Schizosaccharomyces pombe: one gene and its partner. The gene in region 1 interacts genetically with each later gene. Each region holds a gene or a part of one and is shown in the gene's direction. Other genes may lie near its edges.

What was found. Genes that interact genetically often act in the same process or in processes that back each other up.
Region 2: mutations in ulp2 (region 1) and cut3 are lethal when combined (synthetic lethality), as found in Schizosaccharomyces pombe (2 studies listed by BioGRID, with this or other methods).

What each region holds. Positions count from the first base shown.
Region 1 is NC_003424.3:1,763,324-1,770,886, reverse strand, and holds ulp2 (SUMO deconjugating cysteine peptidase Ulp2), read left to right. Parts: upstream 1-4,153; 5' UTR 4,154-4,175; coding exon 4,176-4,196; exon of another isoform or gene 4,197-4,242; coding exon 4,243-4,298; exon of another isoform or gene 4,299-4,356; coding exon 4,357-4,550; exon of another isoform or gene 4,551-4,631; intron 4,632-4,698; coding exon 4,699-5,545; intron 5,546-5,614; coding exon 5,615-5,719; intron 5,720-5,720; exon of another isoform or gene 5,721-5,773; coding exon 5,774-6,010; intron 6,011-6,094; coding exon 6,095-6,551; 3' UTR 6,552-6,654; downstream 6,655-7,563. Other genes in the region: protein hua1, read right to left, coding at 22-696; protein phosphatase regulatory subunit Glc8, read left to right, coding at 867-1,799; erp2 (COPII-coated vesicle-associated protein Erp2/3/4), read right to left, coding at 2,468-3,100; transcription factor TFIIH complex ERCC-3 subunit Ptr8, read right to left, coding at 6,686-7,563.
Region 2 is NC_003423.3:1,004,466-1,008,065, reverse strand, and holds the start of cut3 (condensin complex SMC subunit Smc4), read left to right. Parts: upstream 1-1,542; 5' UTR 1,543-1,602; coding exon 1,603-3,600. Other genes in the region: erv2 (sulfhydryl oxidase), read right to left, coding at 1-48. UniProt on the Schizosaccharomyces pombe protein: Central component of the condensin complex, a complex required for conversion of interphase chromatin into mitotic-like condense chromosomes.

The sequences.
Region 1 (7,563 bases):
CAGTTTTGCTCAGCAGTTGATTTAGTAGGGAATTTTTCCAACACCATTGCATACCGGGCAAATTTCGGTAAAGAATATAAAGTCAAGTTGACCACTGCCTTTGCAATTCCCGCAAACCCTTCCAGGAATTCGAGGGTCACCAGGATAAACAACTAGTGCACCAGGAGGTGGTCGACTGAATTGAACATCGTACGATCGTCCAAATCTACGAGCGCAACGACCACATGGCCTTCCGCTATCTTTGTAGCCAGTATTGTGGCATTTGTAACACATATAGCCAGGTGGATATGGATATGAAATCCTTGGTCGACCAGAAGGAGGCGGTGCGTAAGATGACTGAGGGCGAGCATAAAATTGGCTGGTCTGATAAGGAGGTTTCGCCGTGTTATAATTTGAAGATGGAGGAGGACTCGCGTACATCGTTGAAGCGTTTCCAGGTTGCCAAGAGTTTGGTCTTTGACTAGTAGGACGCGCAGGTGGGTATGGCGCTTGAGAATAGGCATTGCCAGATCCAGAACTTGACACAGGCCTTGAGTTTAGACTCGATGCTGCGTAATTCGGCAAGGTAGAAGAGGAACTTGAAGGGTGACCAGCAGAAGTAGATGTTTGGCCATTGCTGGAGTTTGGTGAATCAATAACACCTTCTTGCCTTAAAACCTCTTCATACGATGGAGGAGGGACAGAATCATCAGTCATTTTTATGATATACTATCACTTAATATACAGGTTGTTGTTGGTAAAGGAATGTTCTCGTATGAGATGTGATTGTAGTAGGTACATGCGTCAACTGATCCTCCACCAACTTTTACATCTTCAAATCAAGGATATCATTTTCTCGTATCCAAAACGCACAGAAATAGATAACGATGAAGGTTAAATCAATTCTTAAACATAGTCGTATGAGTTCTCCCTCACTTGAGACTGACTCAATGGAAAGTGGCCAACAACAAAATATGGTCTCATCAACACCTTCAATTGATATGAATGAGAGTGATTGCTCGGGCACAGGAACTCCATCGGAAGAAAGAATTCGTCGTCTTCGTTGGGATGAGGAAAATCTTTCAAAAGCTGAACAGCAGAAGTCAGCGAAAATGAAAATTACCGAACCGAAAACTCCTTTTCAACGCTTTTTGCTTCCAGATGATGAAGTTCCTGAAATCAATTTGGATGAAACTGACAGTAAGGACGACTTTACTGCTGGAACTTTGGGTGACACACTCGGCACTCTTCCCAGTACCCGGGTGTCAAAAGATTCTAAAGATGACAATGTCTCCTTTTCGAGCGACAAGAAACAATTTTATGTCAAAAAGGAACCTTTCCCGGTTCCTTGTACTGAACCGACTACTTCGGGTGATAGGTACACCGTCCGTATGAAGGCTCCAACACCAAAGTACTCTACAGATAATCATTTACCAAGTAAAAAAGAACTATTTCCGAGGGAAACAAAACCCCAAGTTGAAGTAGTTCATGCCAGAATTAATAATCCTGACGACCATTTACGTACTCATCCTTCTGTGAATAACCTAGGTAAAGATTCTGATCATGCTGATAAAATGTATAATGAAGGAGTAATTCTAGGAGAAGACGAAGCAATGGAAGAGGAGGCTTTATCTGAAGCTGAAGAGAACATTCCTAAAAAGAAACCGGACTTCAACGAACTTCGAAAGAAACATTATTTTGCTATGGCTAAGCCCTTGAAAAGAGATGAACTTGAAAGCAGTGGTACAGAGAGTGATTTAGAGAGAGATAATAGCGATTCTGGGTCAGCTTCTGATGTAAATATGAATGAAAATGAGTGAATCACTTTATTAACTTTACGCATTATTGAAACGTGAGTTGCAAGTACAAAGGATCTTGAGTTTCATTTATTATAACGTCAAACGACTGCAAATTATTTTTTCGACCTTCAAAGTTTTATTACATGAGCTTTTGCGTCTTCTCCGTTTACGTTTTTTATTCATTTCTATTCCCCTTTTTTGCCCTTTTCACTTTGGTTGTACAGTTGTTCTGCTCGGTTTATATTAAAACCTTTCTTATGAACTTCAAATAGTTTAACGGCTTTCATTTCATTTTTATGCCCTTTTAGCAGTCTAATCCTTCATTTATGGCCGCTAACCCTACCCATTCTTTTTTTTTCATAGTATACAATTTTTTATACTTAAATACTCATTAAGCACATTTTTTCTTTATTTCGTTGATAGGTTGCTTAAATTTGTATGAAACACGAATACAGTTGTAAAATGCAATGAAGGAAATAATAATATTGCTTAGTGGAAAATACTTCAACTACAAGAAATTGTAATCCTTGATTTAATAAAGACGCATGTCGATTGTCTTATTTAAATCCTGGCATAATAATATAATCCTGAATAAAACAATAGAGCTATAAGCTTCGTTAAGACTGATTAAAGGCATACATAGGCATGACAGATATGAATATTGTTAGAAAGGTGACCGACTAGTCAGTTTATACACCTCTCCGACCAGATCGTTTAAAGAATGTCTTTACAATAAAGACTTGAAGAGCAGAAAGAGCGACAACCATTATAGATTCAGCAAGACTAAACCAAAAGATGCGGGCTTGAGTAGACTTTACAGTAGAATAATTACGATGCTCCCGAGTTTTGAAGTAATTTTGTACACGGTCAATTTCAGATAATGCGGTTGAGATCTCTAAAACAGTACTTTGCATGCTGTCCTTTTTGTAGTCTTTGGCTTCATCACGGGTTAATGCAGGAAGAGAAAGTTCATTTTCCATAGTGATTTCCATAGTCACAATTTTATCAGTAAACGTAGACATATGATTATCAAAACAGAATTCATATTCACCCTTTTCTTCGAGGGTGAAAAATACATCAGCCTGTCTTCTCTTTTTGCCAAGTGCAACGGTCTTCTGAGATGGTGCCTTGATCATATAATCGACATCAAAAGAACCGCCAGACTGAACAGCGTACGTGAAATGTGTTTTTTCGCCAGTGTGAAAAGAATCTAAGTAGTAACACTGCTTCTCTTGGTTTTCTAACTTGAATGTTAACTCAATAGCCGAAGCTAAGCTGGCGAGCAAAAATAGTGTTATGCCGCTTAGAGTAATTACGCGCATTTTCTATAAAGTAAGGTTAATCTTCAAAAATTTAATATAACTTTTAATTCCAATGTATCAAAACAAATTCACTTACGATATGTGAGTAGTTTTATGCTCAGCTGCAGAGTAGGCTGTTGCTACGTTGAGTGTTGACAGTGTGGAATATGCTGTATCGCAAAAGGCAAGTATCGATAGCGTTCTGGGAATATAAATTAGAGTATTAGTCTTAATAAATACTCTTAAAACAATTTTACAAATTTTTCTTCTTTTAATCATTTACAAAATTGTTTATGAAAATGAGTATAAACCCAGAATCATCAGCATACTAATAACAAATAGTAAACCTTCGAAAAATAAAAGCAGAAGTTTTTCTTCTTAATTATCAAAATAATTTGGTGGTTTTAAATGATCTAGTCCCAAACATAGTTTAGAAAGGAAATCGTTCAAAACTAACTTTCTTTACTATGATATCATATAATAAATATTCAAGTAATATTGGTATTATTATACTTCTTCATGATATTATACAAAGGTCAAACAGGTTTTCATGCGTGAATGTCCCATGCTCTTACTTGTTCTTAATGTATTGTTGTTATTTTTTTTTATAATTTACATTGATTTTAATGCGACTATGGTTGCAATTGACTAATGTATCTAATGCATTCGTAAATCAGAGATAAATACAAGTTTAAATAAACGATCTGTAAAATATATTCTAGTCAATAAAAAGAATTTAGAATAGTTTACAAAAAATCATTTTCTTGGAAGTTAACAGCAACATTTTGTTCGCTATTCGTTATTAAAAAATCAAAACAATCGTAATATGATTAATCAAAGGTTAGGAAGAAATCAGCTTAAAAAGCAACTATGCCTTTCGTTTTTTATTCATTTACATTGAGTTAAAGACACTGTTAGAGATACTTACATCCTTTGCATTGGTTGATACCCTTTATTTACATTGTTTTACCCAGATCATCTACCGCAAAATAATGAATCCTTATGTTTTATTTGGACGCGCTGTGGCTCACAAAACCTGTGCCATTGATTAAGTAGTAGGCTTCTCTATCTCGCCAAAACAGGTATGTCATGAAGAATGAGAGATTCCAAAGATGCCGTATGTTATTCTTTTTCGTTTCTTTTTCTTACTAACTATTTTTTAGCTGGATGATAAATCAGGGTCATTCACTAGTCTTCTTCCCCCGTTTGGAAAACAAAGGTTTGACTTTACCTCGTCTTTTAATTCACATTCCTATATTAATATTTTTACAATCTAGAGGTACTAGCCCAAATGATGCTATTCCTATTAAGAGCCCGCTAGAAAGGCTAGCGAATAGTGTAACATCCCCGGAAAAGCCAACGGTTCGAACTGCTATACAGAAGGATTCACCAAGGCGGAAGCAGATAGATGATGATCAAACACCTCCTAAGCACTTAAAACGCTCTTTTCAAAATGTTACAGTGGTTTCTCGTAAGTCGCAACTTTTTTGCTCTGATCCATGTGTAAAGCATGAGGAAATGCAAAATGTTTAGAACAATTCCTCTTCTTCAGTATCAATAATTGATTTTTTAAAATAAAAACTAACTTATTTTTGCCTCTTTTTGGCTACTTTGTTTAGCACGAAAAAAGAAAACAATTGATGTGGTCGAGCTGCCTTTCACAAAAGGGGGTTATGGAGGTTTTTACGATCCTAGGCCTGGGTGTTTAAAATTTACTACCCATGAAATAAATGTTTCTTACACAGATACTAGCATTCCAGTCATTCACATCCCTGTCCAATTGTTGAAGCGGTGTTGCTGGCTTCAAGGATGGAGAGACAATTTGGTGGAATCTCCAGTACATGCTATTCATTTAACCTTAAAAAATAGAGATATGAAAAGAATTACGATAGGTGATTCTGCCAGTTTATTATTTTTATACAACCCATTACATGTAGAATCCGCTAGAGCTGGCCTTGATCTTTTGGACCAATCTGACTTTTCTTTAACATCTCCTAGTTCGGCTAAAGAATTTAAACAATTATTGACTTTAAAACAATCCACGATCATCCCTCGCACTCCCCAGAAAACTGTAAGGTCAATTGTTAAACAGACCTCGTCTCCACATTCCTCAAAAATGCCTAAACATTCCCTTCCATCCTCGCCAACTCCATTTAATTCCAATTCTGGTGACTCTCTTCTTTCCAGGATTAAAAATTCGAACCAGTCATCGTCAGAGCGTCCAACGGCAAATAACGGAGCTCAAGAGCAAAATCAGTCATCAAGTTCTGCTGGAAACACTTCCAATGACTTTTCAACTTTATGTTCTCAAGGTTCTGATAAAACACTTCTGTCTGATGCATCTTGTACCACTATTCTCGTATATCCGTTTTCTGGAACAAATTCAATTGCCATTACTAATACCGACCTTACAAGACTCAATGAGGGAGAATTTTTAAACGATACTATTGTTGATTTTTATTTGAGGTAAGTTTTTTTTTTTTTTTTTTTTTTTTTTTTTTGGAATCTTCGCTTCTTTTAACCTCAAAAATTTAGATATTTATACTGTAAATTACAAACACAAAATCCTTCTTTGGCCAATGACACTCATATTTTTAACACATTTTTCTATAATCGTCTTACTTCAAAAGATAAAGATGGGTATGTAACAGGCTTTACTTCTATCAATTATTTGATCACTAATGGGTAATATAGCAAGCGGCTAGGTCATAGAGGAGTTCGAAAGTGGACTCAAAAAGTTGACCTTTTCCATAAAAAATACATTATTGTTCCTATCAATGAAACATTTCATTGGTATCTAGCTATTATCTGCAACATTGATCGATTAATGCCTGTGGACACAAAACTGGAAGAGCAGGATGAAATAGTTATGTCGTCTGTGGAACAACCGTCTGCTTCAAAGACTAGACAAGCAGAATTAACGAGCAATAGGTATGTTAAAGGTTTACAATTTTATTGATTAAAAGGAAAAATATATCATAAATCATTTGATTCAGTTTACTAAGTTAATTATAGTCCAGCAATTTTGATTTTTGATTCTTTAGCAAATCTTCATAAAGGAGCATTAAATTACTTACGTGAATATTTACTGGAAGAAGCTTTCGAAAGGAAAAATGTACATCTTAAGTCCACTGATATACGGGGGTTTCATGCAAAAGTCCCGCAACAAAGCAATTTTTCTGATTGTGGTATATATGCGTTACATTTCGTCGAACTATTTCTTGAAACTCCTGAGCAAGTGATAGCCAATACTTTAGATAAATCTCTTAGACGGACGGATGCTAAAAACTTCGACCAACAGTGGAACCTTCAAAAGATTAACACGATGAGATGCGATTTGAAGGGTTTAATTCGCCGTCTGTCAACTGAGTGGTCGTCTAACAATGAACGACAATCGCTTAGCAGCGGAAGCAACGATGAAGAAGATAAAGAAAATGATGATGATTTGGCAATATTGCCAATCACAAATTAGAATTTACAAGGGAATTAGGGAAATCATAATTTCATATTAAAACTTAACGAAAGCATTATTATCAAAAATTTTAGCGTAGAAAAATCAACAAAATTCATGTCTATATCGTGTGTATGCTAGCATGTATAACTTCGCTAGCGACGTTTAGTATACAGGTGCTTCCGAAATAAGGCATGATGTTCTTTACTGTCCTTTTTCAGCTGTTTATTAGCACTCTTGTTATATTCCACGTATGCCATATTGTCGGCACCAGCCAATGTACTTAAAGAACCACTAGAACGTTTAGCTTTCGCCGGTGCTCTAGAGAGACTTCTGGATCCAAAGCTAGTATCCTCACCGTCATCCAAATCAGCTGCTTCTTCATTTTGTAGCAATACTTCCTGCAAAAGCTCAAGTCTCTCCGCTTTGGAGGCGTAAGCCAAATTTGGCAAGTTCTCCATACCCTTTAAATTAGTGATGACTTTAAAAGCATAGCCTTGGTCAATTAAAAATGCTTGCCGTTTACTGGAATAATACATTTCCTGAGTGTCTTTAGATACCAAGCTATAGAAAAATGCGTTAAAGCCTTCATCATTTCGTCGCTTGGCACGAAGAATACGCCCCAAACGTTGAGCTTCTTGACGCCTAGAACCATAATGAGAAGAAATCTGAATCAAACAGGTTGCTTCAGGAAGATCAATAGACGTATCACCAACTTTAGAAAGGAAAATGGTATTTACAAGTTCATTATACTGGAAATTTTCCAAAATCCTCATTCTTTCCTGCTGTGGAGTTCCACCATAAATAAAATATTTGCCTAATTTTATTGCATAAGCACGCAAAGCATAGACATTGTCTGAAAAAACGATAATTTTATCACCACGTTTTTCGTGATAATCGATGAGGAATTGACAAGCCTGAAATTTTTTAGGATTCATGATATAAAGTAGCATTCTTTTTCGGGAGTTTTCTCGAAGATATTCATTATAAAACTCAGTGGTCATCGCGCACCAAACTTCGGCGCATTGAACCT
Region 2 (3,600 bases), on another chromosome or scaffold:
GATTAGTAGGGTAGGGAGAATCACCTGAATTCTTCTATTAAGGATCATGTTTTATAGTATTTAGCTACTTCGTTTTCCCCGTAAGAACACCTTCATCTACCAAATTAATTGTAAAGGAGAACTGCAAGGACAGAAACTCACGCGGCTTTTTTGATCTGATATGCGGCATCGCTATGTTGCAATAACGAGAAGGAATTGATGGTAAACAAAACTAACCTCCTGGGTTATACAGAGCGAGTGCATCGTTATATCTAATGCTAATTAACAGAAAAACTTTTAAAGTAGTAAGATGGAACAGGCTGCTGGATGATCCAATGCATTACCAAATTGATTTAGATAAATGTATTGCCAACCCTTTAATTTTTTTTTTAGATATTAAATATCTTTTATATCAATTCTATATGCTTTTTATTTTAAGACTCAGAAGAGTTTTAATTATAAGTATAGTTAATAGTTAATAAATATGTAGTTTAGTGATAGAGATATAACCAAATAACAACAAAAAAATTAACTAAAGTATCATTATTATAAAGTCCATTGCTAGGTTTTATCACTATAAAATTTTTTTTAAGTTTGGAATTATTTACTAAAAAAAAGAAACTTAACGTAAATAAATAAAAACTAAGAGGACTTGTTAGTTTTTGTTTAAAAAATAAATAAATAAATAAAGAAGGAAGAGTTTAGCTAAGTTATCAAGTGAGCATAGATAGCATATAATAATCTATGTTTACAGATTTAAATGTTTTAAAGATAAATTACTTGCAATTGCTTGAAGATATGAATTTGCGTTTGATTAGTTTAAATCAAAATGTAAGAATTTTGGGTTAAATTAACATATGGCAAAAGGCTTGTCAAGTTTAAAGCTAAAAAAATACAAAACAATAGTGAATTTGAAAAGTTGTTCTAAAAAACTTGGACAAATCGTTTCCTTGCATTAACATTTCATTTAAAGAGCTAATCTATTTATATTACTTACTGATTATTCTTTATTCGTGGTTATTTCACACATAGGGCTACCCAAACAAGGTAAATTTTTGCGTCGTCTTGCTAGATTTAATGAAGGAATACAGAACAAAAAATCTTTGAGCTTTATATTTATTGTGTGAATTGAAAGAGGATGTTTGCTTGTGCTAGTAAAAACTTAGAAACAGCAATGTATTCTGCTCGTCCTTTTAATATTTTGCTAGTGTAAAGTGTCAGAGCAATATTCTCTTTTACTTAATTTTCGTTTTGAGTTAACTTTCAACGTCCAAGAATACCAAATTGACTAGCATAATAATTTAATGTATAATAGACACATGAGTTTATAATTACAGGTAAAAAGATGTTTGAAGTCTTCCTTTAAATCAGGTGTGTAGGTATAAAATAAATAGATCATTTTCATCTAACATGACCTGTTTACACAATTATACTTCAGTCTTTAGTTTATAAACATGGGCTTTAGTGTAATTTAACTGTGGGTTTTTGTATATTTTATTCATTAATTGACTTCATCGTTGGGTGAAATGCTGTTCAACCGTTGTAAACAACACACCTCTTTTCACGACCACCCACTCTTTTAGAATTTTAAGTAATATATAATTTGTTGAAGATACTATCTTTATGTCTGACAAGGGCATCTTTCGAACGTCTTCAACACCCTCGATTGTGGATGTTACGCCAGATCGTGGTGAAAGGCCACGAAAGTTGGTTCGCTCAGTGCTAGAATCTCCTTCTCAGAAAGATGTCGCATCAATTGTCAAGATAGAGCAAACACCATCTCGCCCATTTTTCAATGACTTTTTAAAAAAAAGAATTACCGATTCTTTAAACGAACGCCCTAATTTGCTCAACAAATTTATGTCTGCTCAAGATGGCACTCCATCTAAATCAACAGGTTTCAATGAACGGAGTTCACAACTTGTGTCAGAATTTACTACTACAGAGGATATTGAGAATTGTGAAGAAACCACTCAGGTTCTTCCTCCTAGACTGGTTGTTTACGAGCTACGCCTAACAAATTTTAAATCATATGCAGGAACTCAGATAGTGGGTCCGTTTCATCCTTCTTTTTCTTCAATTGTTGGACCAAATGGCTCTGGGAAATCTAATGTTATCGATGCTTTACTTTTTGTTTTCGGTTTTCGTGCTAGTAAACTTAGGCAATCCAAAGCGTCTGCCTTAATTCATAAATCTGCAACTCATCCTTCTCTCGATAGTTGTGATGTCGAAATTACTTTTAAAGAGGTAAACTCTGACTTTACTTATGTTGATGGAAGCGAACTAACAGTTCGTCGTACTGCTTATAAAAATAATACTAGTAAATACTTTGTAAATGGGGTTGAGAGTTCCTTTTCTGCAGTTTCTAATCTTTTAAAGGAGAAAGGAATAGACTTGAATCATAAGAGATTTTTAATTCTTCAAGGAGAAGTCGAATCAATAGCGCAAATGAAGCCCCGGGCTATATCAGAAGGTGATGATGGTCTTCTTGAATATCTTGAAGATATCATCGGAACCTCGAAATATAAGCCAATTATAGAAGAGAATATGCAAGAACTTTCGAATTCTGATGATATCTGTGCTGAGAAAGAATCTCGTTTAAAACTGGTGCTCTCTGAAAAGGCGAAATTAGAAGATAGCAAAAATTCGGTTCTTTCTTTTCTCAAAGACGAAAATGAGTTGTTTATGAAACAGAATCAGCTTTACCGTACTATTCTATACGAAACACGCAATAAAAAGACGTTAGTTCAAAACTTGCTTAATAGTTTGGAAGGAAAATTACAAGCACATTTAGAGAAATTTGAACAAACCGAGCGAGATATTTCGGAAAAAAATGAAGAGGTTAAATCATTGCGTGAAAAGGCAGCAAAAGTAAAAAACGATTGTACTTCAGAGAAGAAAACTCGCCAGTCTTATGAACAACAGACTGTGAAGATTGAAGAGCAGTTAAAATTTTTACTTAATAAAGAAAAAAAGTTAAAGAAATCCATTGAGGCTCTTTCATTCGAAAAATCAGAAGCAGAAAATTCTTTAAGCTCTCATGATATTGATTCCCAAAAGTTGAATTCTGAAATTGCCGATCTCAGTTTAAGACTTCAACAGGAAGAATTGAGTTTGGATGACATTAGGAAAAGTCTACAGGGAAAAACGGAAGGTATTTCAAATGCTATTGAAGAAAAGCAAAAGGCTATGGCTCCCGCCCTCGAGAAAATAAACCAATTGACATCAGAAAAACAAATTTTACAGGTTGAGTTGGATATGTTATTAAATAAAGAAAATGATCTAATTAACGATGTTGAGTCCTCTCAATCTTCGCTTGATAAACTGCGTAATGATGCAGAAGAAAATCGGAATATCCTGTCTTCTAAGCTTAAAGTGCTTTCCGACCTAAAAGGAGAGAAGAAAGATGTTAGTAAGAACATTGAAAGAAAGAAGGAAACTGTTCACAATACTTACCGAAATCTTATGTCAAACAGAACAAAGTTGGAGGAGATGAAAGCTTCTTTAAGTTCTTCTAGATCTCGTGGAAATGTGTTAGAAAGTCTTCAAAGACTTCATGAATCTGATAATTTAAATGGTTTCTTTGGACGTCTTGGTGATTTGGCTACAATTGACGAGGCT